Arabidopsis thaliana: one gene and its partners. The protein of the gene in region 2 binds, or shares a complex with, the protein of the main gene of each other region. Each region holds a gene or a part of one and is shown on either strand. Other genes may lie near its edges. The genes, in order: AT3G61420, AT1G12400, UVH6 and GTF2H2.

What was found.
Region 1: AT1G12400 (region 2) and AT3G61420 share a complex: the UniProt entries of both Arabidopsis thaliana proteins name them as parts of the 7-subunit TFIIH core complex.
Region 3: AT1G12400 (region 2) and UVH6 share a complex: the UniProt entries of both Arabidopsis thaliana proteins name them as parts of the 7-subunit TFIIH core complex.
Region 4: AT1G12400 (region 2) and GTF2H2 share a complex: the UniProt entries of both Arabidopsis thaliana proteins name them as parts of the 7-subunit TFIIH core complex.

Annotation. Positions count from the first base shown.
Region 1 is NC_003074.8:22,725,298-22,735,041, forward strand, and holds AT3G61420 (BSD domain (BTF2-like transcription factors, Synapse-associated proteins and DOS2-like proteins)), read right to left. Parts: upstream 6,856-9,744; 5' UTR 6,464-6,855; coding exon 6,398-6,463; intron 6,323-6,397; exon of another isoform or gene 6,300-6,322; coding exon 6,221-6,299; intron 6,134-6,220; coding exon 6,072-6,133; intron 5,986-6,071; coding exon 5,922-5,985; intron 5,819-5,921; coding exon 5,704-5,818; intron 5,638-5,703; coding exon 5,562-5,637; intron 5,472-5,561; coding exon 5,376-5,471; intron 5,292-5,375; coding exon 5,247-5,291; intron 4,946-5,246; coding exon 4,889-4,945; intron 4,790-4,888; coding exon 4,634-4,789; intron 4,532-4,633; coding exon 4,466-4,531; intron 3,920-4,465; coding exon 3,796-3,919; intron 3,613-3,795; coding exon 3,556-3,612; intron 3,437-3,555; coding exon 3,309-3,436; intron 3,221-3,308; coding exon 3,047-3,220; intron 2,952-3,046; coding exon 2,838-2,951; intron 2,698-2,837; coding exon 2,620-2,697; intron 2,488-2,619; coding exon 2,440-2,487; intron 2,243-2,439; coding exon 2,174-2,242; and 4 more. Other genes in the region: SK21 (SKP1-like 21), read right to left, coding at 245-280; PIP1A (plasma membrane intrinsic protein 1A), read left to right, coding at 8,360-8,687, 8,952-9,247, 9,486-9,626, 9,721-9,744. UniProt on the Arabidopsis thaliana protein: Component of the general transcription and DNA repair factor IIH (TFIIH) core complex, which is involved in general and transcription-coupled nucleotide excision repair (NER) of damaged DNA and, when complexed to CAK, in RNA transcription by RNA polymerase II.
Region 2 is NC_003070.9:4,217,882-4,223,365, reverse strand, and holds AT1G12400 (Nucleotide excision repair, TFIIH, subunit TTDA), read right to left. Parts: upstream 1,540-5,484; 5' UTR 1,356-1,539; intron 1,080-1,355; 5' UTR 1,071-1,079; coding exon of another isoform or gene 1,036-1,070; 5' UTR 997-1,035; coding exon 763-996; 3' UTR 501-762; downstream 1-500. Other genes in the region: CLP2 (CLP protease proteolytic subunit 2), read right to left, coding at 83-126, 218-267; AT1G12390 (Cornichon family protein), read right to left, coding at 1,885-1,921, 2,015-2,137, 2,217-2,398, 2,948-3,019. UniProt on the Arabidopsis thaliana protein: Component of the general transcription and DNA repair factor IIH (TFIIH) core complex, which is involved in general and transcription-coupled nucleotide excision repair (NER) of damaged DNA and, when complexed to CAK, in RNA transcription by RNA polymerase II.
Region 3 is NC_003070.9:772,932-781,838, reverse strand, and holds UVH6 (RAD3-like DNA-binding helicase protein), read right to left. Parts: upstream 6,313-8,907; 5' UTR 6,190-6,312; exon of another isoform or gene 6,032-6,189; 5' UTR 6,018-6,031; coding exon 5,484-6,017; intron 5,358-5,483; coding exon 5,077-5,357; intron 4,685-5,076; coding exon 4,602-4,684; intron 4,504-4,601; coding exon 4,100-4,503; intron 3,968-4,099; coding exon 3,774-3,967; intron 3,687-3,773; coding exon 3,506-3,686; intron 3,354-3,505; coding exon 3,229-3,353; intron 3,033-3,228; coding exon 2,943-3,032; intron 2,838-2,942; coding exon 2,759-2,837; intron 2,666-2,758; coding exon 2,589-2,665; intron 2,302-2,588; coding exon 2,193-2,301; intron 2,096-2,192; coding exon 1,976-2,095; 3' UTR 1,795-1,975; downstream 1-1,794. Other genes in the region: AT1G03200 (uncharacterized protein), read right to left, coding at 715-758, 1,003-1,084; AT1G03180 (non-structural protein), read right to left, coding at 6,660-6,717, 6,792-6,871, 6,960-7,054, 7,139-7,187, 7,300-7,608, 7,686-7,743, 8,148-8,296. UniProt on the Arabidopsis thaliana protein: ATP-dependent 5'-3' DNA helicase, component of the general transcription and DNA repair factor IIH (TFIIH) core complex, which is involved in general and transcription-coupled nucleotide excision repair (NER) of damaged DNA and, when complexed to CDK-activating kinase (CAK), involved in transcription by RNA polymerase II.
Region 4 is NC_003070.9:1,446,703-1,453,479, forward strand, and holds GTF2H2 (general transcription factor II H2), read right to left. Parts: upstream 4,200-6,777; 5' UTR 4,151-4,199; coding exon 3,875-4,150; intron 3,473-3,874; coding exon 3,011-3,472; intron 2,914-3,010; coding exon 2,535-2,913; intron 2,360-2,534; coding exon 2,211-2,359; 3' UTR 1,929-2,210; downstream 1-1,928. Other genes in the region: AT1G05040 (UBA-like domain protein), read right to left, coding at 1,056-1,145, 1,252-1,354, 1,439-1,746; AT1G05060 (coiled-coil protein), read right to left, coding at 4,553-4,660, 4,749-4,835, 4,963-5,054, 5,593-5,717, 5,807-6,156. UniProt on the Arabidopsis thaliana protein: Component of the general transcription and DNA repair factor IIH (TFIIH) core complex, which is involved in general and transcription-coupled nucleotide excision repair (NER) of damaged DNA and, when complexed to CAK, in RNA transcription by RNA polymerase II.

The DNA of each region.
Region 1 (9,744 bases), on a different chromosome or scaffold from region 2:
AGAACTACTAGAGACTAATTAATCACGATTAATATAAAACATTGACGCAAATGGTTGCTAACTTGTTATGTATCCAAAATCTAACCTTGCTAGTACATTTGAGCAAAATATCTAACAATACTAACCCTCACTCTTTATGATAACTAACATAGGTCCTTGTTGCCATAATAAGTAAACGAAATACATGTGAGTTAGTTAGCTATACGCCAACAAAATCCACATTAGTTAAAGTATCAGAGCTTACCTCTGGTTTAATGATGGCCATTTCACCTTCTGACATTGATTTATAGACCCAGTCTTCGGGTATAACGCTTGTAGAGTATATATCTTATTACACTGTCAAGCTCTCCAATATATTGGACAGCGCCCACTATAAAAAGTTGTTATTTTTAAGTCTTCAAGGTTCCAAATACTGCACAGAAGGAGGATTATTTCAGGTCTATGAGCATCGAGACATCAATCTCAATCAATTTCCGGAAACTTAACACTAAACTGGGTACAAGAGAAGAAACAATGTATTGATCATAAATTTGAAATCAAACTTGGTAAACACTCAGAAAGCTCGAGATTGAATCTGGCATCTAATCAAAAATGCATCAACCAGGTCCACACAAACTAAGAGAGTCTAGATTAGTAAGTTCAGAATCGATTCAACTTTTTCTCTTTTTGATGGAAAGTAAGTTTCTCTCGAATGTGAAGAGGCACCTCAATCATGAATTCGTAAAACCCTAAGCCCAGAAATGAAGAGAGAGGTGCTAAATACCAAAAATGAAACAAAAGACAGAGGTGCCGAAACTTAAATTGATACAATGGAGACTGAAATTAAAAGAGGAATAGAGTGAATACCAACAGCGAGAGAGAGAGACATAGATAACATTCAAATGATCAAACGATACAATCGAACAAGTAGCACACGCATAGAGAGATACATATAATGGAGAAACACGACGATGAGAAAGCAATAGATAAGAAGAATACAAGCGTGTCGTACCTTACGACCGGAGGAGAAGCAATGAGTGACGATGGTGGAAGAAAGATTTGAATCTGGCGGGGGATAACGGCGACGGCGGCGGCAGAAACAGACCAAGAGAGAGAGAGAGACAGGAGCGGATAAGAGAGAGAAAGAAGGGCTTAATAATATTTTGGGATTTCTTTTTAATAATTAAGTTTTTCTCGCGCAAAAAAAAAAAAAAGACAAGAGAGAAAATGGAGTGGGTTATAATTGCCACGTGTACGAGCCGCGATGGCTCATGGCTCGAGATGATGAAAATAGAATCTCAGGGTTCGTTGGTGGCTGATGAAGTCGGTGAGGCTCTTCTAGATGGCTATTTCTGTGAACCTTTCTGTCTTCACTTTCTTTCTTTCTTATTCTCATTTTTCATTTTTTTATTTTTTTTTAGGTTAGGTTAATTTAATTTCTATAAGGTTTTTTTATGGTAAACAAATTTATTACAAACATTCTCAAAACAAATGCTAGGTTAATTAAACCCGAATACCCCTATACACTTCCCATCGTCTTCTCTATATATTATCCAATTTCTCAATTATCACTATGCTCTTACAAAACTAAACAAATTCATTAGCAACATATCTAACCTTTAACTAAACAATAGTATTAGCATCATCGATTTCTGTTTATGAGAGTTTAATGACCGATTCAGTGACTACATAGCTCAAGCAACATTCTTAACCAAACCCCGCTAATGCTTCTCAATCAAGTTCTTAACCAACTGTTTTGCCACCCAAAAAAAAAACAATTGGGGTATTGAGAGGTTCCTTGTAGCACAAGCAACATTCTTGGCCAAATCCCGCTAATGATGCTTCTCACTCAAGTTCTTTAAGAATCTTATCTATTACACTACAAAATCTAAATGTTCAGTCCAATGTTTAATTTTTTGTCGAAGGAAATCTCTTTCTTTCCAAGTACAAAACGTTCTCTATGTAATCTTAGCGGTTCTTCTCTGCAAGTCCGATTCGTAGTGTTGGAACGCAGCATCAAGAGCCTGGTGGAGAAAACGGGTTAATATCACTCAGATTTCAATTCATAAACTGGATTACAACGCAATGTCTGGTTTTGCTGGTTAAATTGGATCGATACAATGCGAGTGGAAAAAATAAGACTTCACCAAGACATGATGTAATAAAACTATCTATGAATTGGAAGGAAGCTAACCTGTTGCATTGGACGAACTAGTAAGGAAACTTGATGCCGGAGATCAGACTGCACCGACTGTTTCATTGCCTGGTTTACATTCGGTATAATATTACGGAAACCATAAACACTAGACCATATGCTGTAAGTTTCGACTACAACTCTGCACCTATTCATTTTACCCAAATTTCATGTTTGTGTAAATGCATTCGTATGAAGATATAATGAACTACTTTTCTAACGCATTACTCCGAGAAAAAGATTTGAAGAAGAATTCCATAGCTTACATCGAGTAGTGAATAAGTATTGGACATTGCATCCTTCAGTTTACCAACCTGCATGATAAAATATAACATCCTAGTATAAGAATTTCCTCTCAGTGTAAATAAATTTCAATTTGATCCTGAAGAATCTATGTACATAGCAAACTCTATGATTGGAAGAATGTGAAGTGGCAACAACATTACCTTGGTACTAAGATATGTCGTTGTTATTGGGTAAGATGACCAAAAATGTCTCACTAATTCTTGTATTGATGTCCAGTGCTGTATATGAGAGAAAAAAGGAAAAAGTATTGATGCATTTGAGGGGACAACAATATCCATAGGCATTATTAACCAAATTACAGTAATCAGTATATATTGAGCTGCTTGTTACTTGGGACATTGGAGGATGTCAGACTTACATGTATAACTTCATCCTTAGTGGACTTTGGTAATCTGTCCAGAAAGCTCTCTTGCGGGTTCTTCCCGAGAATATTTTTGGCAGTTGAGATAGTTCGGGTCAACGAACTGAAAACCTGGATAGGGTTTAGCAATATTTAGCTCAGGGAACAAAGCAATAAGCCATGGTTTCTTTAGGCAGCATGCATTTTATATTGAGATAGAATAGCACCTCAAAGGAAACTTCAGGTTTAATCAACGGATCACTTAATCCCGTCATTCTAATCACCAAAATGGATTCTTTTAGTAATCCATAAGCTTCATGGACATTTCTTTTTGACGCCTTTGCTCCTCTGGGTTCACTGAGGATGTTTCCTTGTTGAGATTCAAAGTAATCACGAGGGTCCTGATTCCAAACAAGAGAAGGTACGAGGATTTACGCACCATCTTTCATCATCAACAGTGTAAACCTATTTATCACAAAAAGCCAAGACCTTGATAGAGAGTGGTGCTAATGGGAAGTTTTGTGGTGCTTGAAGATCCTCCATTTCTGTTGCACGGGACATTCTCTCCAACCTCTCCTGATTAGCGTCCTTGGTGATTTCACCATCAGCTTTGCTTACTACCAGGGGTAATAGACATGGATACCTAGGTCAGATGAATATGAATTGCAGCATTGGCCATTGATCAGCATAGAAAAAGAAAAAGATAAGTAGAGCATATCATAATGAAACAGCAAACCTTGTTTCGCCCGTGTGAGAGCCTCTGCAACAATTCTCGTATCTTCAGACTGAACATCTACTTTCCAGTATAAAAGAATAAGTGAGTATCATTGTATACTTTACCACCAAGAACTAAAAGCAGAGGGCCAAAATACATGTTTATCCCTCATCAACTATCTGTTGGGAAGTCATTTGATGGCTATTTTTTATACTGTTACACAAAACACCAGATGAAACAATCAGAGTTGAAAGTGTTTACTGATGCATCTTCCTTCCAATACAACAGCAGCATGACGATTAAGATCTTGTAAAAGTGACCTCTTAAGCTGGTCATTCTGTGGTTCAATAATGTCATTGGTGCCATCGCGCTGGATCCCGTGGTCCTGAGTGACAGGAAATTTAATTAAGCACAAAATAAAATATGATCCAGCAGAAAATGTGAATAACCTTTCAACCAACATATAGAAAGAGCAAAATGTAAGTTATAAGATCACTGTTTTCTGGATACTAGCGTTAGGCTAATATAAAGTAATGGACCTGAGTGGGAGATAAAGCACTAAATGAAATTCAATTTCTAAGCAAGAAATAGATCACATAATTCAAATATAGTTTACACAGTCCATAATTTACATTTGTGAGAACATAAATTTTCTTGATTGAATAACTTATAAAAGGATTGATGAAATTCTAGAAAACAAAACATTTGACACACTGTTACAAGTTGATGCTTATCACCGTCAGTATTAGTATCATCTATGGAGCACAATGCTTCTCATGCTACTACTACTTCTAGGGTGAGACAATATGTAAACACCAACACTGAAAAAGCCGATGAGAGACCTATTTTATCTGTGGAAATTTCTACACTGTTAACTTGAAATTATCGTTTCAATAAACCTTGATGCAGAATGAGTTGATAGTTGGCTTACCATAAGATGGGTGTAGTCATCTCCCTCGTCAGCGTCCATGTCAAGAGTTGGATCAACCCGTCTCATCTACAAACATGACATTTAAAATAAATGGTTATTGGTTAGACCACAATCATTATCCTTTTAAGCAAATGACATGGAAATAATTAATTATAAAAAAGAAATGACCTTTTGACGAGCTTCCTGAGCCAATATCTCGTCAGGCTTCAGAAAGACAGCGAGTTCCTCATCCTCAGCAGCTTCTGCTGCAGCTACTGCTGTATTTTTTGTGCTGTAAAGATATTCTGCTCTAAAATATTTTGTCCAAAAGTCCTTTTCTGTCATCTGGCGTAGAAAAATAACTACGAAAGGCAGTTATGAATCATTGTATTTGATGATTAAACCAATAAACAAAGATGGTCAGAGTGCTGAAGTCTTTGTTACCTTTTTCGGAACATAATTTATGAATGCCTGGCGAACAGCCGGCTTCTCAGCAAAAATCTGAAAGAGTTATGAAGATATCATATGTGAGAAAAGGACAGTAGTATGAATGAAGCAGCATTTAGTTAAAAATGTTTTTACTTTTCAATTCTAGTTTCCCACTGGAATTTGTAAGTTCAAGCACATGATGCAACCCGAACATCTAGTAATGAATTTATGACTCAATATATCACCAATTGCAACTTCAACCCCATTGGCCATATAAACTTATCCCGACCCTGGAGGATCGCGCTTGGATTCAAATTCAGAAACTTATATAGCCCTTACATCAATGAGAAAGATAGTGAACCAGATAGCTAACCTGAAAAATTATCTCAGACGTTAAGTTAAACGTCACCCTATTAGTCTGAAAGATCAAAAATTGAAGAGAGGTTAAACCAGATGAAATGTCATATAAAATTTATCAGCAAATGGATGTATTATACCATACCCGGCCATCAGTAGACGGTTTGATGCCTGAAACCATCATGCTTTTGAGCCCCATCTGTTGTTTTGACTTTCTAATGGAATCTTTACCAAGTAATTTCTGCGATCAGAACACAGTTGATAACTATTACGATTGAGACTTACGAGAAGAGCAAAACTGAAACATCAAGGAAACAAACAAAGAACCAACCTTCCTCGTAGACCAGAATTCGTCTTCCGTCAGGACTTTACTTTCCACAAATTGCTTATGCAATTTCTGCAACTCACTTCATTATCATAATATCAGAAACTTTTACCCAAAAAGAAAGCAACTTTTATAAGTGATTACACACCTATTTTCTCGAAGAAGCTTGAAGCGTAGCTCAAATTCTGCCATACTAAGTTGTTCAGCAGGTGTCAAGACAACTAGTTTATTAGGCTCCTCTTCACATTTAGCAAGGGCCTTAGCTGTTCATAGCACAATTGGTTACAGCAACAACACCACGAAAGAAACACAGAAAAAATACTTAAAATGAATCAATAACACCAAATCATGGCACGTGGAGCTTACTGATGAAATCACGACAAGCATGCATGTCAGGATAATTTTCAAACTCAAAGATATGACTCCTTCCCTGTAATAATCAAAGACGAGGAAACTTCAGTGATACACCTATCAATATTTTTTAGCCTTGAGCAAAAAGGGCCGAGGAAAAACAACCTGCTTGCTGGTCAGATTGAGCCAAGGAGGTTTATTTGATCCTTCTTTGGTATATTTCTGACCTGAGAAATTTAACATGGCACAATAATCATTTAGAGAAATTATTCATGATAAATCTGAATGAACAATATGGATAATCAAACACTTACTTTTGATGTTGTGAGTCTGAACTTTAAGCTTCAAATCTGATTTAGGATCATTTGGGACAAAGAGCAGCATCACTTCACTCTGAGAACAAAAATTGGAAGATCCTTTGAGAAAAAAACCATTGAGTAAGGAAACAAAAATAGAAATCATATAGTGGCAAAGAGTTAAAGTATTCTTACTAATTCGAGGGATCCAAGAGTTCCTGGATCCTTCACAAAGCTCTTGTATTTGACTCGCTTCTCCATTGATATATGCCCAAGGTTCTAAAGCATGGTAAAATTGGTGGATTAAGTTTGTGAGCCGGAGGAGGTAAGGAGTGTCGACGGCGGAGGAAATATTTGAATCTGGCGGAGGAGAACGGCTAGCGTCGGCAGATCAGACAAAAATAGCTAAATAATTTGGGAATTTTGTTAATTTTAAGTTCGAGAGATAATGAGGTGGTTAGAACCACGTGTACGAGCCGTGATAGCTCATGTCTTGAGATGGTTCAACAGTTCACACCCGAAGTTGATGAGTCTCAAGAGCCACGTGTACGAGCCTTGTTTAACCGGGCCTGCGATCAATAGTAGTGTTGTTAGCTTAAGCCCGTATATGTATGGCCCATTTATTGTCTCGAGCTAAAAGTCGCAACTTTTTTTTATTGTTTTTTTTTAGTTTATTATAGGCAGACGATAACATTTGTCTTATTAATTTCATGTTAGGAGGACATTGGTAATTTTCGCTTGTTTTTTTGTGTTTGGTCAATGAATATTTTTTTTTTTTATGGAGCCGTGACGCAAATGGGGGTGGCTAGGTGGGGCAAATGCAATCATGAATAGCAGCCACAATAAAATTAATAAATTGATCGAGTACATATGTCATAAGATAAATGGTCGGTTTTGGATATGTAAGGCGCCGGCATTAGGTGGTATGACTCCACGTATCTTATCGTCGATGCATTGGACGGCTATTAAATAATCAGTCTCCAACATAAAAATTCCAAAATCACACTTCACACATTCTTTTATCATGTCATGAGGCTTAATGGGTCGGTCTTTTTTTTTAGTGGCTAGTGATTTTAGCTGATGTTTCAACATTTTGGTTTTAAGTGTTTCTATTTTGCAGCTTAAATATACATATAAAAATAATAATTTAAAGATTGAAGGTCCTCAAATCGTGTAAATGTGGATTTTTAGTTTGAGAAAGTATCTCACATGAGCCTTTTTTATCATTAATTACTTAATTACAGTGTCAAAATGATTGATAAGGAGTTGGAAAATACTAGGTGGTAATCAAGATGGCCCTTGGATGCTACAAGAGCGTAGGGCCATAGGGCCCATTCCAGAACAATATAGCAACCACTAAGCATGTTTTTGTTTTCTTTAACATTGTCTTTTCTATTTGGCAATTAGTACACTACTTACGTTTTGTGGTAGGAACAAATAATTTGTAATCTTGGCACAAACCAGTGCTTTGTAACTTTGATGATAGAAAAAATTTATTCACTAGTTCGATAACGATTATCAATCATCATAAATAAAAAAAGTTAGTTTAGACGATCATGAAGAGAGAAAAAACAGAATTATTGGTACTATCTCTTAATTTCCCAACTCTGTAGGTACACTCATTAATCATTATGGAGAATGTCATAGTCATGGTACATAATGAATGTGCATGGTGCTTATGGTACAGATGTTCTTAACTTCTTATCCTGGCTGGCAAACGCCAGATCATCTCAACTGGAGGATCATGTTTTGTTCGTAACAGTTAGTAACTAACCAAATTAGTGACAATCATGAGGGATTATTAAAAACAGACATTGATCTATTTTTGATTAGAAAACATTACTGATAAAACTACAAAAATAGCTGGAATGGAGCATTCAAAACTCTGTCCAAAGTCCAAACGGTTAAATTATCACTGACCCAATCCAATAATTAGATTTATTTAGTAAGTATGATTACTACGAAGATAACATTAACAAAATTTTATGTTATTGTCAATTTGTCATCATCGTCTTTATTTTTTATTTCTCAACTTTCTTTGCATTACATCTTCCAACTATATAATTAACCACTCTACTTTCTCAAATCCCACACTCAGAGAAGAAGAAGAAGAAAAAAAACAGAGCTTTACAATTTCTCTCTACAGAGATCGAAGATATGGAAGGCAAGGAAGAAGACGTTAGAGTTGGAGCTAACAAGTTCCCGGAGAGACAACCAATCGGAACATCAGCTCAGAGTGACAAGGACTACAAGGAACCACCACCAGCTCCGTTTTTCGAACCTGGTGAGCTTTCTTCATGGTCTTTTTGGAGAGCTGGGATCGCTGAGTTCATCGCTACTTTTCTCTTTCTCTACATCACTGTCTTGACTGTTATGGGAGTGAAAAGGTCACCGAACATGTGTGCTTCCGTCGGAATCCAAGGAATCGCTTGGGCTTTCGGTGGTATGATATTTGCCTTAGTCTACTGTACCGCTGGTATCTCCGGTAAGTCACTCTACTTCTCCAAGTATACGCCTTTTTACTGTAATTAGGTTTCCGAGTGTTTGGGTTGTGAAAGAAGACGATAAAGCTATAATCTTGAGAAAATTGTGTTTAGATTTATAGCTTCTTAGCCTGAACTTGTTCCATTTGTATCTGATTCAAGAAATCTCAGAAAGCTACAATCTTGGTGGAATTTGCAGTTTTCTAATATGAATTGTGTCCTTTAGCCTAATCTTGGAATGTATTTTTTTTATATGTAACTCTCAGGTGGACACATCAACCCAGCGGTTACTTTTGGTCTGTTCTTAGCCCGGAAGCTGTCGCTTACTAGAGCTCTGTACTACATAGTGATGCAGTGCTTGGGAGCTATCTGTGGTGCTGGAGTGGTTAAAGGGTTCCAGCCTAAGCAATACCAGGCTCTAGGAGGAGGAGCTAACACTGTGGCTCATGGTTACACCAAGGGAAGTGGTCTTGGAGCTGAGATCATTGGCACATTCGTTCTTGTATACACAGTCTTCTCAGCAACTGACGCCAAGAGAAATGCTCGTGACTCTCATGTCCCTGTAAGTTACCACTCCTTGTAACATATCTGCTAATAGCTTCTTGAAACAATTGAAATGAGTGAACTTTTAAGCTGCCTTTAGTGTGACTCTCATGTCCCCGTAAGTAACCAGTCCATGTAACAATTGCTAGAAACAATTGAAATGAGTGAACTTGAAGCTGCCATTAGTGTGCACTAAAGACTGATTCTCAATATTGGATTTGTTGCTTACCGGCTTGAGTTTTGTAATAATTGTGCAGATTCTTGCACCACTCCCAATCGGGTTTGCGGTTTTCTTGGTTCACTTGGCAACCATCCCAATCACTGGCACAGGCATCAACCCAGCTAGAAGCCTTGGAGCTGCAATCATCTACAACAAAGACCATTCCTGGGATGACCACGTGAGTTTCCACACACTATATACCAAATCGCATTCCAAACTCGGTTTCGAGCATTTTTCCCTGACAATTTCGTTTTTTTTTGTCGTCATTCCAGTGGGTGTTTTGGGTTGGCCCCTTC
Region 2 (5,484 bases):
TAAATCAGTTCCCTCACATCTCGCAGACCAATTCGATTAAAAACATGAACTTTCGGACATATTAAGAGGAAAAGGAACAAACTTGCAGATTGAGGCTTTAACCCAGAATAAAGCTTGATGCTACAGCTGCAAAAAGGACATAACAAAGCAATCAGATGCAAGTGAATATGTGTGAACAGAGACAAAAGTATGTAAATTTAGATAAATTGAAGATTACCTCGGACTCAGAGAAGGCTGGTGAAGCGTTGTATTAAACGAGACCGCCATGGTCGTCGAGCGTGTTAGAGCCGAACACTAGATTTTTTGTTTGTTTTATTTTAAGACTAGAAGAAGTGGAAAAGCTTACATACAGATTGGGTAATTTGTTGAAGAAGATTGGTTTATTGGTTTGCTTAACCGAATTGGTTCACATGTGCAAATTGTATGTGGTTAACTTAGTTTCTGATTTTACTTGGTTCATCCTTCATGAGTAAAATGAAATTTGGAACTTCCGAATTCTTTAATCTGTTTATTATCTACTACAAGTAATTGAACAATAACCAAACAAACGTGTTTATTCAACAAAAGAGTGACAAAGTAATCAACACAACCAGAGAAAACCGACTGATACTAAACCGGTACAGAGAGATTATTTGTCAACAAAGTTCACTTTAACTCTATTAAAGCATGAGCCATATCAACCAATCTCACGATCTCAATGAAGTTTTTATTCATTTGAATCAAATGAAAGAAAAACAAGAAGCAAGTGTGATGTGATGTGATCTAAGAAGTGGGCTTCTCGTAAGAGTTTTGATCTCTAAAATCAGAAATGGCGCTGCGGATCATCTGCTCTACATGTGGTTGCACGAACAAGTGAGTACTATCAAGTACATGAATTATGAATTTCTGAGACGGAGGCATCGAATTGTTCATGTTCACTATGAATTGTGTCATCGGAATATCGCTGCAAACAAACAAAAGATACAAAGAAACAATGAATGATTCAATTGTGTTCATCAAGATTTGCTTAGGAATCGTAACAACGGTAAGAAGTACCAAGAGACGAACACTCCTTTGATTGCATTAACCATAAGTAAAACCTGTAATACAAAACACGAATAATCTGAGCTCAATTTTCATCAAAAGATGACCCAAGAACATCCTCGATAACTCAGAACATAGATGAATGAAAGATTAATCCTTTGTTTCAATTCAAGGACCCCAAATTACTAGATGCAACGATTACATAACTGGGGTTTCGCTACCTAAACACCACAACATAAACTCGATTCCCAAATCTTAAGACTTTAACGATTACAGACCAAATAGAAATAGGATGAAACCAGATCAATTTGGTCTAGAGATCAACCACACACCTGTGAAACCACACGAAGAAGATTGGAGGAATCAATCAAGAGGGTAAGCGATGTTTGAGGCAGAGAAAGAAATCACCTTGATAACGACGATTATTGTCACAGTAAAGGAGAGAAGGATTAGCTTTATAAGATAACCTAATTACAAAACTGAAACAGAAGGTTCGGATCATCTTTTAAGTTATCGTTTATTACATCACTCAAAAGGGTTTCTCACTTTTAAAAGTCAAAGTTCACATGAATTAACTTTTTTTCTTCTTATATTTGAAATTATTCAGTTTCATTGTTACTGTAACCAGTAGTTTACGAGCTTGATTGCTTGTACAAATAATGATCAAGACATAAAAAAAACAGTTAATCTGAACATGTTTCTAAGAAAGAAATAAATACACAAATCTTCCTGCCACTAATCTTACAAACATCACAAAGCAAACACTTTTCCTTGCTTTTTTTCATGTCCACAAGCATGTCGCTGTATCTTTAAGCGTAGTGTCAATAAACCGAAGAAGATGGACCATGTCTTCTTCATTAGTCAGTCCTCGTAATCATCCAGCGCCGAATAAATCATCCTACGAAAAAAAGTTGCAAACAGAAAGTGTTTTAGCTCTCTTGATCTACTTATGGTTAAGCAATAATGGGATTCGAAATATCTTTCTCGTTACCAGAAGATAGTGAGAAAGAGGTTAAGGACAATGTAAGCAAGCTTGAACAGCCGTTTCTTCTTTTCCCAGTTAAGCAAATTGAAGATCTCGGTGACATCTACTAAGTGTTGTCGCTTCGAGTAACTGAACAACGGAGAAACCGAAAGGATATCAATACCACAACATTTGATTGGAGCAAAAGATTGAGATTAGTTGGACTTACAGATGGAAGTTGTAGTATAGATAGGGGAGACATAAGAGTGTCATGAACCAGTGTCCTGTTAGGAGGTAGAATACGCATAGAACTCCTTGAACAATGAACTCCGGTAAAACCACTGAGTTTATTCTCGACGCAGAGTCGTAAGGGTTGATGTAATCAAACTCGAGATCCGCTAAGCAAACAAGCTGCAAATGAAAGAATTCAAATTCAGAAAAGAGAAGTTAGCTTCCTAGAAAATGTCTTCCCAAGCTGTTTATACATGGAAGATTCCGTTTGCTAGCTTATCAGTCTCAGTGACTCCTCTCATTAGAGTCTACACAAACAAAACTAAAGGGTTCACTTCATTATGCCGAAATGGAGCTCATTTATAAAAGAACAACCTGTGCTTAAGGAGGTAAATCCTCAGACCTGACATGAACATCCAACATAAGAACTAACTATGAACCTATAAAAGTGTTTTGAGAAGCCAATACGCACTATATATGTTCCTGAATTTACTCCTTTGATGATAACATTCCCAAAAATTACACCTTTACTTCTTCCAAACATGTGACAAGAACATAAAACCCTAATTCTAGCTAAATCACAGACTACCCAGAAACAAAAAAAAGGCTCCAAATGAATCAAAATGGACAAATATGGTATCATTATAACCGTAAGCGAAAAAATTGGCAAATTCCGATAGAAAAGTTAAGAACTTTGGGTTTATTTATCCTAGAAATTGGGAATCGCACCTGATAGACGATGATTCCGACAAGAGCGATGAGGAAGAAGAAGGAAATAAGCCATGTCCAGATATCTCCCATCTTCCTCCTTTTGGTTCCGACAATTTCCTCGGATCTATCCTCGTTGTTTCTTGGTCTTCTCTCTCTCTCTCTCTCCTCCCAATAATGTTCGATGAGGAACAGAGAGAAAGTTAGGACAACGACTTAGTGGTCGGCTAGTTTTGACAGTTGAGCTCGAGATTCTGATCGGAAACAAAGAAGCCTAGAGAAGGCAGGCACGAGACTCAGCTTCCGGTTCAGTTTCCGGTTAAAATCGAATTCGTTATTTCCCGAAGTACGTACCATTTACGCCGGTTTAATATTTCAGTATTATGAATCTATGATTTATAAGCCATTGGGCCTCTATAGATTTAGCCCAATTAAATAGTAAACAGTTTGGGTTTGGGCACGAGAGCCGTGTAATTTTTGTTGAGTCGTGTATAATTTTTTTTAGGTCATTGTCTTATTGTATAGTTTTAAGGAAATCAAAAATGAAAAATTAAAAACAAAAATGGTACCAGAAACCATTCAATCATGTGATTGAGAAAAGCCAGCTGTTTTCTAGTACGAAGAAAAACAAGCTTCATCTTTTCCATGTATTTTTCTTTCTTTCTTTTCTCAAGAACGGTGAATCCATAACTTATAATTGCAAGGATTAAGAGATTGAGATTATGAAGGATAGCATTTTGGAATTGTAATATGGTTTAGCTTAGTCGGATTTTCCTCACTAATTATAGATTCTGGCCTCTCTAGTGTGGTTCAATTAAGTTGTAAAATAAAGAAGCTATGTTAGTAACTAAATCCATCCAAGTTCAATAATCAAATAATTACTATCGCTATCAATGTAAAAGGTGGCATTATTTTTATTTCAACTATTATTATTTCTTACATGGTATATATATATTTATTTCGGGTATAACACGATATAGTGGAGTGGTTGGGAAAAGAAGTTCTCGTACAAGATTGTAAATCAAGCAATTTACGTTTGATACAGTAATAATCAATATCAGTATTTTTTTAACTGAAAGGATTGGCTCTTCGTTTTCACTAACTGGAAAATGAAGATTCAAATTTATAACATACCTATTTTCTGTCAACAGTTACTTATTTTTAGTTAATATATGCATTTAGGGACCAATCTTGAAATCTCATTCCACGTATGAAAAGTATCATGCAAAAAAGTATATATCAATTCTAAACATTTTATTTTCAAATTTCATTCACAAAATCAGCATTATTTTATTTAAGTGGAGATTAACGTAAGAAGTTACTTTGATATATTGTTACATTGTTTACATTGTAGACACCTTAAGTTAATAAAACGTATGACAAAGTGATGTTATTAATAGTTCTCATCACTATATTGCAAACGTCGTTTATCAAAAAATAAAATTAGAGGGCATAATCCATGGTTTTTGGGTGGTTGGTATGTAACAGACAAGATCATTCTTATAGATAGTACTATCCATCTTTTTAAGATAGGACTGCTCTAAATTATGTGGTAAGAAATTAATTTTCTGCCTTTTTATTATATAGATACAGTTATGGGTGGATTTTGTATATTAGACTTTAGAATTCATTGATCATTCATACATATAAGCATGCATACATGATACTTCTACATTAGAAGGTGGGAGACAGTTGTGACATGGATTTTATGACATTAGATATTGACCAATTAAAACTTGACTCCTACTAACCTCCACTTATAACTTTAATTATACGTTTTACTAAGAGAGATTTACAAGTTCAAGTTCAAGACACTTTTTGCATTGGAATAAGAGTAGAAAATCAAGGGTAAAATATAGAAAGACTTATGTGTGTGTGTGTGTATGTGTGTGTGTGACACATAAGAAATAGTCTTTGTTGTGGTTAATTAGCTGGAATAGTTGATCAAGAAAATGTGTTTTTAATATTCATTAGTATGAGTTTGTTCGCATTGATATGGTTTTATAGGTTGTATTAAATTATTCATAGATCAACGACATACTAAAGTAAAATTCTAAGTTTTTGGCTATGAGTGAAAAGCATGTGTACTTTGTTGGACTGCTACAGATTGGTTGGTATTTAGCTAAATGTGTCCATTGGCCAGTAATTTTATTTAGGTAAATATTGGTCCTCAGTCATAATTTTATTTAGTGTGTGTTCATGTTTTTTTGGGTTTTTACTTTTAACTAAAAAGAGGTAGAAGTTGTGAAGAGTACAAAGGATGTTGTTATTCATGAATCATGACTTCAAACTTCTAACGACGGCCAAGACACACATGATTCATGAACATTCATACAAAGCAAATGAAAGCAAAATTGCTATTGAGATTAACAAAAAGTAAAAAAATGGTTGGAATTAGTAGGAACCAAAAGTGTCGGTAAAAAAATGGAAGTTGTAAAAGGTTGCAGTCAAAAATAAACAACTTTCAACACAAACCAAAAAAAAATATTTACAAAGAAATGTACTTTATGAGTCAACAGAAAATGGTCAACACAACACAGTCTCTGCGTTAATGTCTT
Region 3 (8,907 bases), 3.4 Mb from region 2:
AGTTGAAAACCTTTTAAGAAAAGAAAATAAAAAATAAATGCTAAATATATATGAAAATATGAAAAACATGTTGGATTTGTGGAATCGCTAATAACCACGGTTCAATGGCGGGATCCAAAATCCGGTTAGATTTCACGACATCATATTAATTTAATATTTATATAACCCTTTAAAAAAAGAGTTGAATTTTTAAAAAAATAAATAAATGTTAAATATACATGAAGATGTGAAAAACATGTTGGATTTGTGAAATCGCTAATGACCAAGGTTAAATGGCGGGATCCAAAATCCGGTTAGATTTCACAACGTCATATTAATTTAGTATTTATAAAACTTTAAAAAAAAAAAAAAAAGAGTTGAAAACTTTTTAAGAAAAATAAATGCTAAATATACATGAAGATGTGAAAAACTTGTTGGATTTGTGGAATCGCTAATGACCAAGGTTAAATGGCGGGATCCAAAATCCGGTTAGATTTCAAAATGTCATATTAATTTAGTATTTATAAAAAAAAAGAAAAATAAAAAAGAGTTGAAAACTTTTAAAAATCAAAACTTTGAGAAATATATTTTGTTTTGAAAAATCAAAAGTATAAAAACCTTTTTTGTAATTAAACTATCTATAAGATTATAGATTATAAACAAAATAGGGATGAAAATTGACCTGACCGAATGGGATGATGCATTGTCTCTGTAGAATTATCCGTCTTTCACACGCTACGATATCACAGATGAAAAAAGCTCCGAAGTTGCAACCACATCTACATACAAAGAAGAAATAATTGATTAGAAGGAATCTTGAATAAAAATCAAAAACTTTGAGAAATATATGATTAGGGTTAGAGCTAGGGAAATAATATAAGACCTAAAATTCAAATTGGATTAGACGAAACCCACTTTAAACATGAGAATTCTTTGTTTTGCGATCAACCAGAATACAGTAATTAGATACCATATAAAAAAAAGACGTTATTTGGCCAAAAATTCCAACAAGACGAAAAGTACCTTTTGAGAACAGAGTGTTGGAGTCGGTGCAAGTTGATTTGATCTCTTGACGATAGCCTTTGCTTTTGCTTCTGATCTTCATCCCCAAAAAAAAACAAAAATCGATCGTTTGTTTTGTTTTATGAATTAAACACAGTAAAATTGATGAAAGAGTAGAGTAAAATTCACGGTTGATCAGTGATCTGGGTAGAAGAAAGAGACGAGAGAAATAGAAAAAACGAAGAACGGTTTTACGATGAGAGAAAGAGAGGAAAGTGCTATCGAATGGATCTCTGACTCTGGATTTGTATTTATAAACAGTATTTCTGAACTTCTAATGGAAACCTACAAAAAGAATGAAAGCTTTATTACGGAGGAACGGAAAAAGGAAACTTGGCCGAGAGAGACGAAAATACCTAAATACCCCCCTTGGGAAAAAGGAAAATTTGGCTCAAGAGAGGAAATTCCCTAAATAGTCTTCGGGAAAAAGGAAATCTGGTTTCTCGCACGTTGAAAAATTAGCCTGCGTAATAACGGCTAGTGGGTGAGCTGGAACTCCAACTGTTGGGCTTTGCAAGTGCCCAATGGGCTTCGACAGTTTTTGAGGCGGTTATTGGAGACAGGTGATTGGGTCGTCGCACTAACTCTGCCAATTTCAATTCCACTTCTACTGCTTGGTTAAATTTATTTAATCATTCTTTAAGATTTTTTTTTTTTAGTGGTATGTTTGATAGATTTAACAAGGAGCCGACGAAGTATTTCTTGATCTAAAATGATGTAATGAGTGAATATGATAATCTAGTTATCTTAACATTAAGCATAAATTTTGCTAATTTCAATAGATTTAAAACCAAAACGAAACTTTTACGAGCCTTAAATTTCAATTCGATTCTTGAAAATCATCAAGAAAAAGAACAAAATACCTACAGTGAAAATTTTTGCTACAACAATTTTTGATTGACCTAAACCAAAAAATAACAAACAAACTGATTTACTAATAAGCCATGTCTTGCACACCAGTCTCAGCCATCTTCTCCAAATCTTCTTGTGTCAACAGAGTTTTCCTTCCCATTGTACCCGCCTTATCATACGGTTGAGCCATTTTCCGAAGAAACTGCAAAAAAAACAAAAACCAGGAAAATTGTTGATTCTTTATGCCTTGTTGTTTGTTTCACTGTGAGTTATAAAAAAGCAGCGAGTTATAGGTTTACCTCTCGAGCAATGTGAATAGCCATATCAGTGCTTAGATTCAAGTGTGCATCACGCAGATGCGAAAGTATCCAACCAGGTAGTTTGGACCGCTTATCATGACGGCTGTATCTGCAAGTTTTACCATCAATTGCAGTGTATTGTTAGACCATAGAAATGTGACATTATAAACCAACATAAGCATATATCTGTGTCTCTCTTCTGTCCTACGAATATTTTCCCATTCCTAAGGAACAGTGTGAACTCTGTTACAATCTTCTATTCTCGAGGTGATCTCAGATACTTGCGCATATACTTATTATCATACTAGATAGATTATAGAGAGAATCCCATTTAGTAAAATAGCAAGAATCTAAATGACCAGACTCAGAGAGAGAAAACTTAAGGCGGGCATGTACCTTTTGTCTGCAAATATCATCATCCCATAATCAGCCTTTGACCGGATTACTCGCCCTACACATTGAGCTGCTTGCCTCTGTGTTAAAGCCAAAAAGAGTTAACAACAGTCACAAACAGGTAAAAGAGTTGCACACCAAAATCTAATAAGATCATAAAATAAGAATCATACCAAGGCATCAAAAGTTAGGAAATCGCCTTCTTTTATTTGAAATGTATCGTGCAAATACTCCAATCTTGCTCGTAATATCCTGAAATTTTTCCCGTTTCCATCTTATCATCTCCCAAGTACGATGAAATATAAAAGCAGAAAACCGGAAATTGAAATGATAAACATTCATTTGAGTACAACTTACTTGCTTAATGTATACTGGAATGGTACTCCGTACATTACAACCAGTCTTCCATAATGACGATCAAAATCGATACCTTCAGCAACTTTCCCCCTGCAGTTCAAATACAAAATTTGATCACTTTCTTTGAAATTTCTCAAAAGTGAAACCTCTTTAATATTTGTTAACCAACCAAGAATAGGAGAGAAGAGACAATTCCAGTATTATAATACAGAAACAAAGAAGCAGAACCAAAGACGCATTGCAATGAATTCCCAAACCATCTACCATTCAAAAATAAAAATTTTACCTGGCCACAGAGAAGAAAACTGCACCTCTTCCGCAATCGCAAGCCCTGCGATAATTATCCAGTGCCAATGTTGTTTCTACAACATCTTGTGTTTCAATGAAAACAAGCTTCTGTTGCATTATTTCCTACAAACATTAAGAGAATTGGTAATATCAGTAAACAAATATACATTAATGCCTGAAGCAACTAAAAATATTTTGAGGTATCATAAAAATTCCAATTCATGCAAAACTCTGAAAAAATTACTGGCATGGTAAAGCGATGAAGAAGACCTTACCTTCAGAATTCCAGTTTCATTCCATGTAGCAATAATGCCATCCATATATGAGTAACTAACAAAGAAGCAGACAACTCCATCAGGAACAATAGATACCATCTCTACCAAAAGCTTTCCGTAATTCCTCACAACACCAGGATCACTTCTCATGTCAAATTTGGTGCTAACAGGAAGCTGATCACTGAAAAAGAAAACAACCAATAATGTCAAGACATATAAAATTAAAAAATAAGTTAAGTGTTCAGGATTCTTTTTATATACCACATACCTTCCCCGAGTTAGAACCATAGGGCAGATGCAGTCTCGTGTCATTGACATCTTAAAGCTTCGACTAACAACAGGAGTGAAATTAAGAAGACGGGGGTAAAGATCAATTGGGCTCAATGTGCCTGATGTAATCACGACTGACTGGAAACGATCAAACACCGGTTTGATCGCCAGAGACGCATCATGACAGCTCAACTAAGATACAAAAGGATATATGTTTCAGATACAATTCTCAATTATTCAAACGGTAGCATTTACGTGTGAGTCATAATCCCTTAAAATCCCAGTGACAATACTCAAAAGAAAGTAGGTCAACACCATATTTACCTGCAATATAGGATCTGGAATATGGGGCATTCTCTCGTCATAAGGCTCGATGATGATGGAAAATCCCCGGGCATATGTCCCAACAAGAGTTGCAAAGTCGCACACTGTCTGGATAGGCAAAAACTCATCTGTATCTGTAATTTCAAGGGTTAGCATGAGAGACTGGAGCCGGTCATAACAGAACTTCAGTGTTTTCTGCTCAATTCCAGCCTGAGAATTCAGTGACGATACAAAGCTAACAGGGCTTTCTTTCTCTACATTCTCAGTGTCCAGCCGTACCCCCAAGTACTGAAGTAATCGGCGTAAAACATGCACAAAATGCTCAGCCCGTCTAATATTCCCCGGGACAGCCTCCTTTAGAATATCATGAGGCAGTGCAGGGTTTGCAAGCCATTGATCACCTCCTGCAAAAAAAAAATTGTTGCGTCAAGTTCATAGAATTAGAAAATTTACTGTGTGCTTTCAATCAAATCACAGATCACCTTCCTGAACACATACTTACCAGATAAGTCCCCTCTCAGTGCTAAACCCTCAACCAGCCGGTTGTATTCAGCTCGCAATCTTCCTGCATCAGTAGCCTTGAACCTTCCTACCAGTTGGACAATTTCAATAATGTAATAAGAACTTAAAAATAAGCATCAGCAAATAACCAGGTCACTTCCTGTATTGAACCAAGAAAATTATGCTTCATGTGTTTAAGATGATGACAAAAGCGTTTGTAAATTTTTGTTCCCCTTACAGTTCTTTGACAAAAAGCAGTCTCATAAAACCAGATTATTTTCTTACTAACTTAAACTTCCTTAAGAAAACCAACAATTAGCAACTGGAGTGAGCAGACACCCAGATGGCATTCAAGAACAATCAGGAAATTCAATTGAAAAAGAAAAGACCCTATCACTGTGTTTATTGTTGTATTAAGAGTGGCACGTTCAAGAGAACTTAAGGAGTATCAGCTATATAGGAAAAAATTAGCGTACCTATCAATTTCTTGCCTTATCTTATTAAGATTTCGATTAGCTCCTTCAAGTGTAACCCTCCTCACACTGACGCTGAGTGCTTCAATACACACGTTATCGATATTATGGGCCTCGTCAAACACTACAACTGACTCTTTTTGTAACTCCTTTGATATGAACCCAGCAACCTTAGGATCCAGTAGGTATTGGTAGCTGTAAACAATAACGTTGGCGAACTGAATCATATGCCTCGCGAGAAAGTAAGGGCACCATCCACGATTCTTACCAAACGCCCTTAGATCCTAAAAATCGAAACACACATATACCATCAGGCAAAATGTGCAAGTAACCTCGAAATAAGCATTCCAACTAAAACATAAACTTGATCAAACAACAAATGTGAAAAACCTTAACTTTTTTAATCTTACCTCTAAAGTATAAACACCAGGAGGCAACAACGCATTCTCAGCAGCCTTTTCATAGTTCTCAAAGAAGTCACAGAGTTCTACATTTGGATTCTCCGTGGACAAAGCCCTAACCCAGCTAGCAGTTCGTTTCCTACAGGCCGCATCAACAGAATCACGATTCTCGGCTGCTAAAACCTTAGTATTAACGCAAAGATTCTTCCGAGAGGAAAGACCAAGGGCGAGGATCTTAGCCTGGGTGCCGAGATGGCGTACTTGGTAGTCATGTAGTAGCTTAAGCTCACCTAACGTTTTCTCCATCTCGTGGACAGTACGAGTACAGTAAACAAGCTTGATCGGAGAATCAGGACGAGAGAGTCGATAGCTGGTGATTAGAGAGAGAAGAGCAATGGTTTTACCAGTTCCGGTAGGCATCTCGAGAAGACAATGTCCCTTAGCGTCTAGGGCTCGCTTCAATTCAACCATGTATTCATATTGTTCTGGATATATGTTGTCATAAGGGAAGTAGACAGTTACGTCTTCGATTTTAAAGATCATCTTCTTCCTCCTACCTAGAAATCGAAATTGGCATTAGAACTAACAAAACCCTAAAAAACTCGAATTCACTTTAGCAAAACAAGCGATTCAAGTTGGAGTAGATAAACCCGAACAACGAGAAAGAAGGAACAATTGAGATCAAGCGAAGAGAAGATAACAGGAGAAAACTTACAGGTGATAATGGAAGCTTCGATGTGTTATCAACGACTGAGAGAGGAACCGGTAGCAGCTTCAAGGTAGAAGAAGAAGAAGAAGAAGAAGAAGAAGAAAATTTTGCGTCTGTGTTTGCCGAAGTAACCAGAGCAAACAGAAGAGGAGGACTCTTATTAGAAAAACTTAAAGCTTTGTTTCTTTTTCATTCTGACCCCCTATTTATTTATTTTAATGCGTTTGACCCCCTAACTTTATGTATATTAAACTTCTCGACAAAATTAGGTTTTTAAATGTTAACAATTCGTCCAAAAATATAAAATAGTTGAACAATCCTGATTTTGTTAAAACAACAGAGTATTAGAGTATGCAGTAGTAGTAGTACAATGTCATCTCAAGATTTGGAATTGTTTCAACAATGCTGGTTTTTTTCTAAAATTTGCAACAGGGTTTAGTTACAACAATAGAGAGATACAAACAAACTCTAAAGTCTTATTCTTCAACTGGTTGATGGAAAGCTAATCCCTTTATCACATGTCGACATTGATACCTGCAATGACACAGTAAGGCATGGTCAAGAACTTGTTTAGTGTGTAACTGGAGAATTGTGAATAAGAGAAGTACCATATTAGATCATTTGTGGGAGGAGAATTTGTTGCATTGTCTTGCGTTCTGCACTTGAATCTCAACTTTGAAGGCACAAACTGCAATAATAAAAGATGTTTGCAGGTGACGGAAAATCGGAATGTTGTACATGGATGTGTGAAATAGAATTAGCAGAGAAGTGTATACCTTTCTGTTGTATCTGAAGTCACGTTTAGGAAGGAAATGTTGTGGAAGATTCAAAGTAGGTGGAGCATGAACCAATATGAAGAGCCTCATTGGACCTGCAACTCAGAAGAAGGGAAAAAAATCATTACACCATAATTCACAACAATGCTAAAGAAGTTTGCAATTTATGCAAAAGTTACCTGGGTAGGAAGTTGATCCAGCACCCGTCGAGATCAGTGCTCGGATAGTCTGTAAAGCCAAGAGTGAAGGGCTCAACCATTTTTGACTTATCACAGCAGATAAAATTGAAAAGAGACAAATCACAAGCAACATGAAAACAGAGGTAAGAAAAAGAATAAACCTTTTTTGAAAGTGCTTCTGCAGCTTTGGATTTAGCAAAGTCACCTTCGTAGCCTAGAACATGGTCTCTGCGTTGTGTGAATAACAACTCATAAGCATTTTGAGGCCGTAATGGACTACCACCAAGAATCAACACAACTTTCTGAATGCCAGGAGCTTCACGGATCATTAACTGCAGCGCACTTCGGAGACTAGAGATGGTTTTCATCAGTTTCTCCAGTTTCTTAATCTCATTCTTCACCTCTCTCTTTCTACTCATCAGTTTTCTTCTAACCAGTGGTTTCACTTGAGGTTCTGCAAGATTCGTCTCCTACAACCTAAGATTCTTAGAGTGTGAAAAAGACCTTAGACCTTAAAGTGAAAATGGCGTCTGTAGGACTAACATACCAAATCCATAAATTCAGTTTGCAATCCTTCAAATTCAAGGCTCATGTCTTGTAATACCCTGCACAGATGTAAATAACCAACAACAGTCATATTGGTAGAAGGAGCTTTGTGTAGCCAAAACCAAAGCTGCAAATTGAAGTTTCTGGTTTTCAGTAAAACACTCATAGTGGATACAACAGACTTAATTCTAAAACCAAAAGGAAGTAGTGTGCACAATTGCGTAGAGCTTTTCAATTTCTCCTAGAATTGAACATAACTCACCTACCAGGAATTAATCACTAATCCATCCAGAATCCATAAATTCATAACCACGAAACTATTTTTCTTCTGATAAATTCGTAACCAACAGACTAATCGGAGAAATTAACGGAGAGATTGAAGAACAAACAAATAGATACATCATCACCAGATCGAAGGATACATCGAAGCATAGAGATACGAAGATAGGAAGAGATAACATACGAAGGGATCTGCTGGTGCATATAGAGGACGAATCCGACTATGTCATTGATGATATGGAAGACGCCGGAGCCGCCTAATGAAGAAGCGGTGGTCGCGATGTCTACGTCGTAGTTCTCCTCTGTAGTTCCTTCCCCTTCCGCCATTTCCATCGTGAATCGAAAATTGGAAACCTTGTGACTGTATGTATGTGTTGCTGAAGAAATTTGAAAAAAAGTCAGTAGGCGGGTGAGAGAAGACGAAGAAGAGAAAAACAGATCCTTCCAGAGAAGAAAATCACCCAACAAAAGTGGAAACTAGAAACGATGCAAATGACAAATTAACCCGATAGAAACTGAGAATAACAAATCAACCCCTATACTTTATTAATTTCAAAAGCTAAGCTTTGATTTATTACCAAAGTACCCTGAAGTTGGACCAATAAGCGGTGGCGAGTGGTTGGGCCGTATAGAGGGGACTAAAATGCCTTCCTTCACGTTATTTGAGAATCATAATTGGATCCAGCTTCGGCCCAATTTTCTACTTTATAACATTTTCCACAATTTGATATATATCATCGCGCGTATAATCGTGCTATTTTTATCAAATAACTTAGTAACGAATAGTTTGACAAAAAAAATATAGTTCATGACCATATTGTATGTTATTTTTCATTACACGTGTACTTCCACTAATTAAAAACAAAAAATAAAGTTACCTAATGATAAAACATAAGATTATTTGGTATAAAACCCTCTCATTTTTTTTATGTTTCATATCTCTC
Region 4 (6,777 bases), 2.8 Mb from region 2:
TGAATCTCTGACACAAGAGGCATGGTGAGTAGAGAACAAGGAAGGTTTCCAGAAAAGTGATTATTGGTTAGATTGTATAAAGGGGGAAAACTACCGGTCAGTTCGTTTTGTGAAAGGCTCAAGGAAGTAAAGACGGCTTAGGCTACTGATTGAGGATGGAATTTCTCCGACTAAGCCCATACCAGTTAGATGCAAGACCTCTCAGTTGGTGAGTCTTCCAAGTTGGGCGAAGAATGAGGACGAGTCAAAGTGGTTGTAAGCGAGATCGAGATACCTGAGGTGATGAAGTCTGAAAAGACTTACTATTAGCATTGAGGGAGCCTCTGAGACATGCACCATATAGGTCTAGCTTCGTCACTACACCGGTCTCGTTATCAAATTTGTCGTTGCATTTGAGTAAGTCAAGTTGCATTTGGGGAATGGAAATTCATTTTTAAAAGCCAAAAAGGATCTCAATTTGGTCGGGACGAGGAAGTGGCAAAGAAAAAAGACTGATAACAGAGAAGCTGGATAGAAAGACACAACACAAGAAACAGGAGATGGAGAAAACAGGCAAAAGCGGTTTTACCAATAAAGACTTGAAAGAAAAGAAGAGACCGAAGGAGAAATTTGGTACATATGATTTGGTTCTGCAGCCAAACCACTTATAACGATGATAAGACTCATAATAGACAACGTCAAATTGCTTGACTCTAAACTTTGTGGCAATTTGAACTTCAGACAAGATCAATCAATTACTGAGGACAAAGTATGGACCAATACCATATTGGACCTGGACTTAGAGGTCACTGGTCCTCATAATAAATACAACTAAGATATTTCTACAGTCTAGATATGATCCTCATAATCAAACACCAGACTTTTCTGAATCGTATTCAAGAAGAATTTAAGTTGTGTGTATATGAAGTTTGTGCAAGGTTTACCTAAAAAAAAAAGTTTGTGTAAGATCAAGGTTTAATGATATGTTGAGTAGGTGAGCAAGATTGGATAAAGAAGTACCAATAAAGGATTTATACATCAATCTGCTTCCATCTCAAGAAAAAAGTCCAATCAGCTTAGTCAGAGTCCGAATAAGGATCCGGTCTAGGCAAGTGAATCTCAATGGAGGTGGATTCACAAATCTTCGTAGCTTGAACTGATGATCCCTAAGGTGATACAATACACATCATTTAAAGGAAAGAGATGTGATTATAGGTATAATAAGCAAAAGACAGTACTGGTAATGGAGTAGCATGCAAGAATAGAATTTACCTCTTCTTTAAACTCTTGATTCACCGGATTAGCTATAGACACAATTTTTTCTCCATGAGATATATCATCAGAATCATGAAGCTCTCTTCCACTATCATCCAAACTATACAAAACAAAAGAAACAAGATTAAACATTCTTTTTAGATGATTTGGATTACCGAGCCCTTAATATTATTAAATCACCCACCTGGTGGCCAAAGCACCCGTATCAGAGCTTTTCGTTATGGTTATCTCATCTTGGCGCATCTTCAGCGTAAATTCCGAGACAGAGGTAGTAGAGTATCTTCTTCTTAAAGGAGATCGAGATCGCTCTCGCCATTCATTCACCCTCCGTGGAGTCGCTCTTATTTTGAGCGGAGGAAGTTGATCACCGAGGAAACCAGAGATGGCGTCTTCGAGATTCCAGTCGAATCCTTCAAGGTAGTAGAATGCTGCATCTTTACACGCAGACGTTGCCTTGCAGAACCTAGTGACGTTAGTATCTTCTTCCTTCATGGTGGTGTTAGGGACTTTTCTCAAAGATTAAGTACGTTGTTTACTTATGACAATCACTAAGAATTGTTTCACTTAGATCTAATATAAAAGCTTCTAACAAACAGAGAGATATTTAGGGAAGTAGTTGCGACCTTGTCATGACAGTATCAACAAACAACTGATGATACGGTCTCCTTTTGTTTACCACCGAAATAATTCTTTATTACTACTGTTCGTTTTCTCATGAGTGAAGAAATTTCAAGCCCAAGTTAAATAGAAAATCAAACAATTAAGAATGCTATCTCTGAAAATTTGAGTCGGTTTGTTTTGGATCAATTGTGAGAGAGCAATAGAGTCCACAAAAGAAGAAAGATTTTGGTTAAGGACATAAGACCAATTACAACATCCTATATCACAAAAAAAATTGCTTCCTCTCATCATCTCAATTGTGATTTATAATTGGAAGTGTGAACACATTCATTCTCTCATTCTTCCATCAAAGAAACTGATTTGGGACGGTGAATGCTCTCACAGCCAGGACAGTTGTGTAAGCTCTCGTGGATGTATATGTCACAGTCCAGACAGAAATAGTGCTTGCATTTACGACATGTTACGCATGGGACGGGTTTATTCCCTAAGCAAAAAACAAAAGCACCAATGAGCCTTTATATTTGAGTGAATGGATCGGTTACTTTGTATATACTATGACAAGGGTGAACCGTATCTTAAGTTCAACTACTGGTCTAGTGACCAAATGGTTATTCAACCAACAGTATTAAGACTCTATAAAATGGTGTTCAAGTAGTTACCTGCACCAATTAGGCTCTGTTGGCAACCAAAACAACTCTTTCCCAATTTTCTCCGATTATCATTCAGACTTGAAAGTGCAGGCACCTCATCAAATGGAGCAATCGGGAAGAGATGATGGTATGATCTCGCCAAATGCGGCGAAGAAACAAGTGTTAGACCGCAGATAGTGCATTCCGTAGGGAGGTCACATACCCGAGCTTTGCATCTTGGGCACATGTAACCAGCTCCAATCTTAACTTCCTTATGACACGAACAAATCGCCATTGAACCCTCAGCAGCTCTTTGTGGGAAACCCATCTTGATCAAATTTGCAATTGCAAATTCTGCTATTGCCGGAGGTGGAGGCGCATGTTCAAGCAGAAGATCCTTTAGATGCACCTGCGTGAAAAGACAAATACACACAAAGCACAATGTTATACCATACAAAACAAGTTTTTCAAAGGTCCAAGTGTAAGTAGAAGGTAGCTAAACTCACCTCGTCCACTGCAACTGAATACAATCCGCCAGTTTCCTGGCAGAGGTGTTTACATATGAACATTTCTGCAGAGAGCCCAATTACAGAACATCTTAATTTGGATTTCTTGCATTTTTGAATGGTCTCCATGATATCGCCTGGATCACATGTGCATAAAGCTGAGTACAATATCAGAACCTCGCGGTGACCATAAGATGGAACCTGGTTGAGATGCTCATGTACAAGTTCCAGAGCGTTCTGCAAAGAGGAGTCACCCAAAGCTTCCAACTTCCCCATCAACGCTTTGATGTGAGTCTCAGGACTACCACCAAGATCTGTTAATGTATGCGCAACTCCATTTTTTATAGAGACCAACCCAATTTGACTCAGAGGATTCTGGTCAAAGAACTCTCTAATGAAAGCTTCGACATGTTTGGCCATTATAGCCATCCGGCTTGGTCTGAAATCCATTTCCGCAGCTGCCTAGACACGACAAAACAGTCCAAAGTGTAAGACTTTGCATACCTTGGAACTAGAGAAATTTGAACCCAAATCATAATGTTGCCTTCAATAAAGAATCTGAATAAGGATCACATCCTTAAGCTCTACAAACCCACTTAGAGTAAGATTATCATTGCAAACAATACAGAGCCAATTATAGAACCTATTGAGAAGACTAAAGAGCAGAGATCTCCAAAACTAGAACGACGATTACATTAAAGTTACTTATCAGTGACCCAAAGTGCATAGTTTCTCTTTTATATAAGCTCTGATGAAAGCAACATAAGCTCAATTTCACGCCATCAAACTCAAAGGAAACGGCATTGAAGCTAAAAATCACAAAATCAGCAGCAGCAGCGGCGGATTGCAAAGAAAAATATTTACCCGAGAGAAGTCAATGACGATGTAGAGATATCGAATAAGTCCCTTTTGGATACGAGTACCAGCAGCAGCGGCGGAGAGCATACGAAGACGGCGGCGATACTGAGCATGGTAAATGGCACTGTTATCAATTGGCCGTAAAAGTCCAGACTCATCCTCTTGCAACTCCTCCCAGGATCGGTCGTCAACATAAGCTCTCTCCCACTCGCCGATACCTTCCGCATCTTCGTCGTCCTCTTCTTCTCTTTCATCGTTTGATCTCTTTCTTTGATTACTCATCGTTAACCTCACCGTCTAAGAGACCTAATTACAAAAAGAAGAAGAGAACTCTACTGAAGCCAAAATTTACATAAACAACCCTTACTTATTATAACGTTCACAATTTTGACTGTAACTTCCTATTCTGTATATTTAACCCACCAATCCATGTCCAATCAGAAGTGAAACATTTTATTTTGCTTACACAATAGGAAACATTGATATTGAAACTCATAAAAACTTTATTATACAAAACTTAAATCACTCGATACAACCTTTATACAGCAACATTGAAACTTCTTAGTTCTTACAGCACAATATGATAATTTACCTAAGATCTTATTGAATCTTACAAACATATAGAACTTCTTCTTTGACTTTCTCTATCCACATGGTTACACATTAACCAAAGGTCTTGGCCTTTTAAGATTTAGGTCCCAGAATTTTCGAAAGCTCCTTCAAGATTGGTTTCTCCTTGATAGTATTACCACCTTCATTCTCAATATGCCACTTCTTCGACATGTTTTCAGCCTGAAATTTATGGTCTTTTCGGGTTAGTCTATTAATGATTATGATCCACTTCAGTTGAGAAGATGCAAGTATCTTTGTAAAACATTACCCAAGTTCTTAAGGGCTCTACTTGTTCCTTCATCGACTCCAGTTTTGGCTGAAAAAGATCTTTGCCTTTCGTTCTTATGTCATCAGCCTAACAGAACGAAAATCATACAATAAAACCAAGTAAGGCGATGATGGCATTCAAGATCAGTCAATAATGCTTAGAAATGCTAATCTAAATGATTTAAGTAAGAAAATGGAAACATATGCAATCTTACATTACGCATGTCAAGTTTCGAGGCTGCCGTTCCAAAAACCAAAGTGGCTGAACCAAAGATGATAATAGTAGCGGCTGCAAATGCTTTTCCAACTGCAGAAACCAGAAAAATCAGAGGGCTCGAGATTAGGCAAACTTTCCGAACACTTCACGACATCAATTAACATTAAAAGACAAAAGACAATAACAGAATCTCAATCTAAGCAATATTATCAACAATTTCTAGGCTGTGAGAGAGATACTTAGATTATTTGTCATCAGAGTCAAAAAGAGACAACCAGAAAGCAGTTGTTACATTAGACACTCATGAACCCTCAGCCACGGAAAATCTTGGCTTTCATAACCAAACAAACCAAAGTTTTCTCTAGTAAGCTGAAACCTTTCAGAATTACTGCCATTGCAGTCCCTAACAAGGTAAAATAGACAAGTTTGGGCAAGCAATTTACATGATCAACATTAACAAAAGCAAGGAAGTGAAAACAGAACACGTAAAGATAGCAATCCTTCTATCTCTAGCAAACAACCCAAATCTAGTCATGTTCCTCTGTAGGTAACTGTATCCATAAATCCAATTATCCACGTTCAAAAAGATTTGATTTGCAGATAAACAAAAGAAGAGAAGTGATCATACTATGTTGAAGCCCTTCACCAGCAGCTTTCAATTTCTCAGGATTTACAGGAGTGCCGTATCTGTCTCTCCTCAATTCATTAGCTGTTGACGCCAAAACCGAATTCTCAGATTCCGGTAAATCCCATCTGCAATAAAAATCGACACAAATTAACAACAAATCCAAAATTTTGAAATACTCATCAAGTGAAACAGAGTATAAAACCCTAATTTGAACCTTCTACGGCCGAAAGTGACTTGTGGCAGAGACACATAACCTCTGAGAGGATTCAAGACATCAGGGGATATAGAAACTGTTGCGTTCGGGTCAGATTCAAGAGCCCATTTGGAGAATTGGGAGAGAGACGAAGGATCAGGAGGACGACCATATATTTTGGAAGGAAGAGAATGGCGTAGAATCTCCGGAAGAACGTCAGGTTGAATTTCCGGTGGATCCGGCGGAGAAGATGGAAGCTTTTTGCCAGTGGCCGGAGATTTCTCGGCGAGACGATTAACGGCGTGTTTGGATTCTTGGAAAAAGTAGGCAGCTTCTTTTCCCGCGAGTCTCCCTGCTCCAAGAAAACTCATTTTCTTTTGTTGTTGTTTCGGTTGATTAGTCTCGTTGCTTCTTATTTATACATATTATTATATCTTCTTCGGTCTCAGATATCCATAAAAAGATATGATTTTTAATCGACAATAGGATTAAAAAAACGATTTCCCAACCTTGGAGATCAAGGTTGAAGAAGGAAGATAGATTGGAGAGAAGCTCTTTTTGACTTTTAACCCGAGGTTGCAAAAAAGAGACCAACTTTACTTTCTTGACAAGTTGAAATCAATGGTCACAGCCCCAAACCAACGATTCTGATTCCAATAAACCATCAACCATATCTCCTCAACAGAATGACCAGCTCAAACAGTTATCACTGTGACGACTGTAGTCCCAGCTGAATGCAGACTTTGAACACGTGCTGTATAAACCCTATTTACTATTTTTTTAACCTTTCCTAGAATCCAAATGATTCGTTCGATTTTCCAGCCTTGGACAAACCCGATGAGATCATTGCGGTGTATGTTACAACGTTTTGAACCAAACCCTTTGAGCCCCATTCGTCAAAGAGAACCATCCTTTTGTCTTCCAAGTCCGTCCTTAGTTTCCGAGCTTCCTTTACTTTCCCTTGCTTGCAGTACGCATTGATCATCACATTT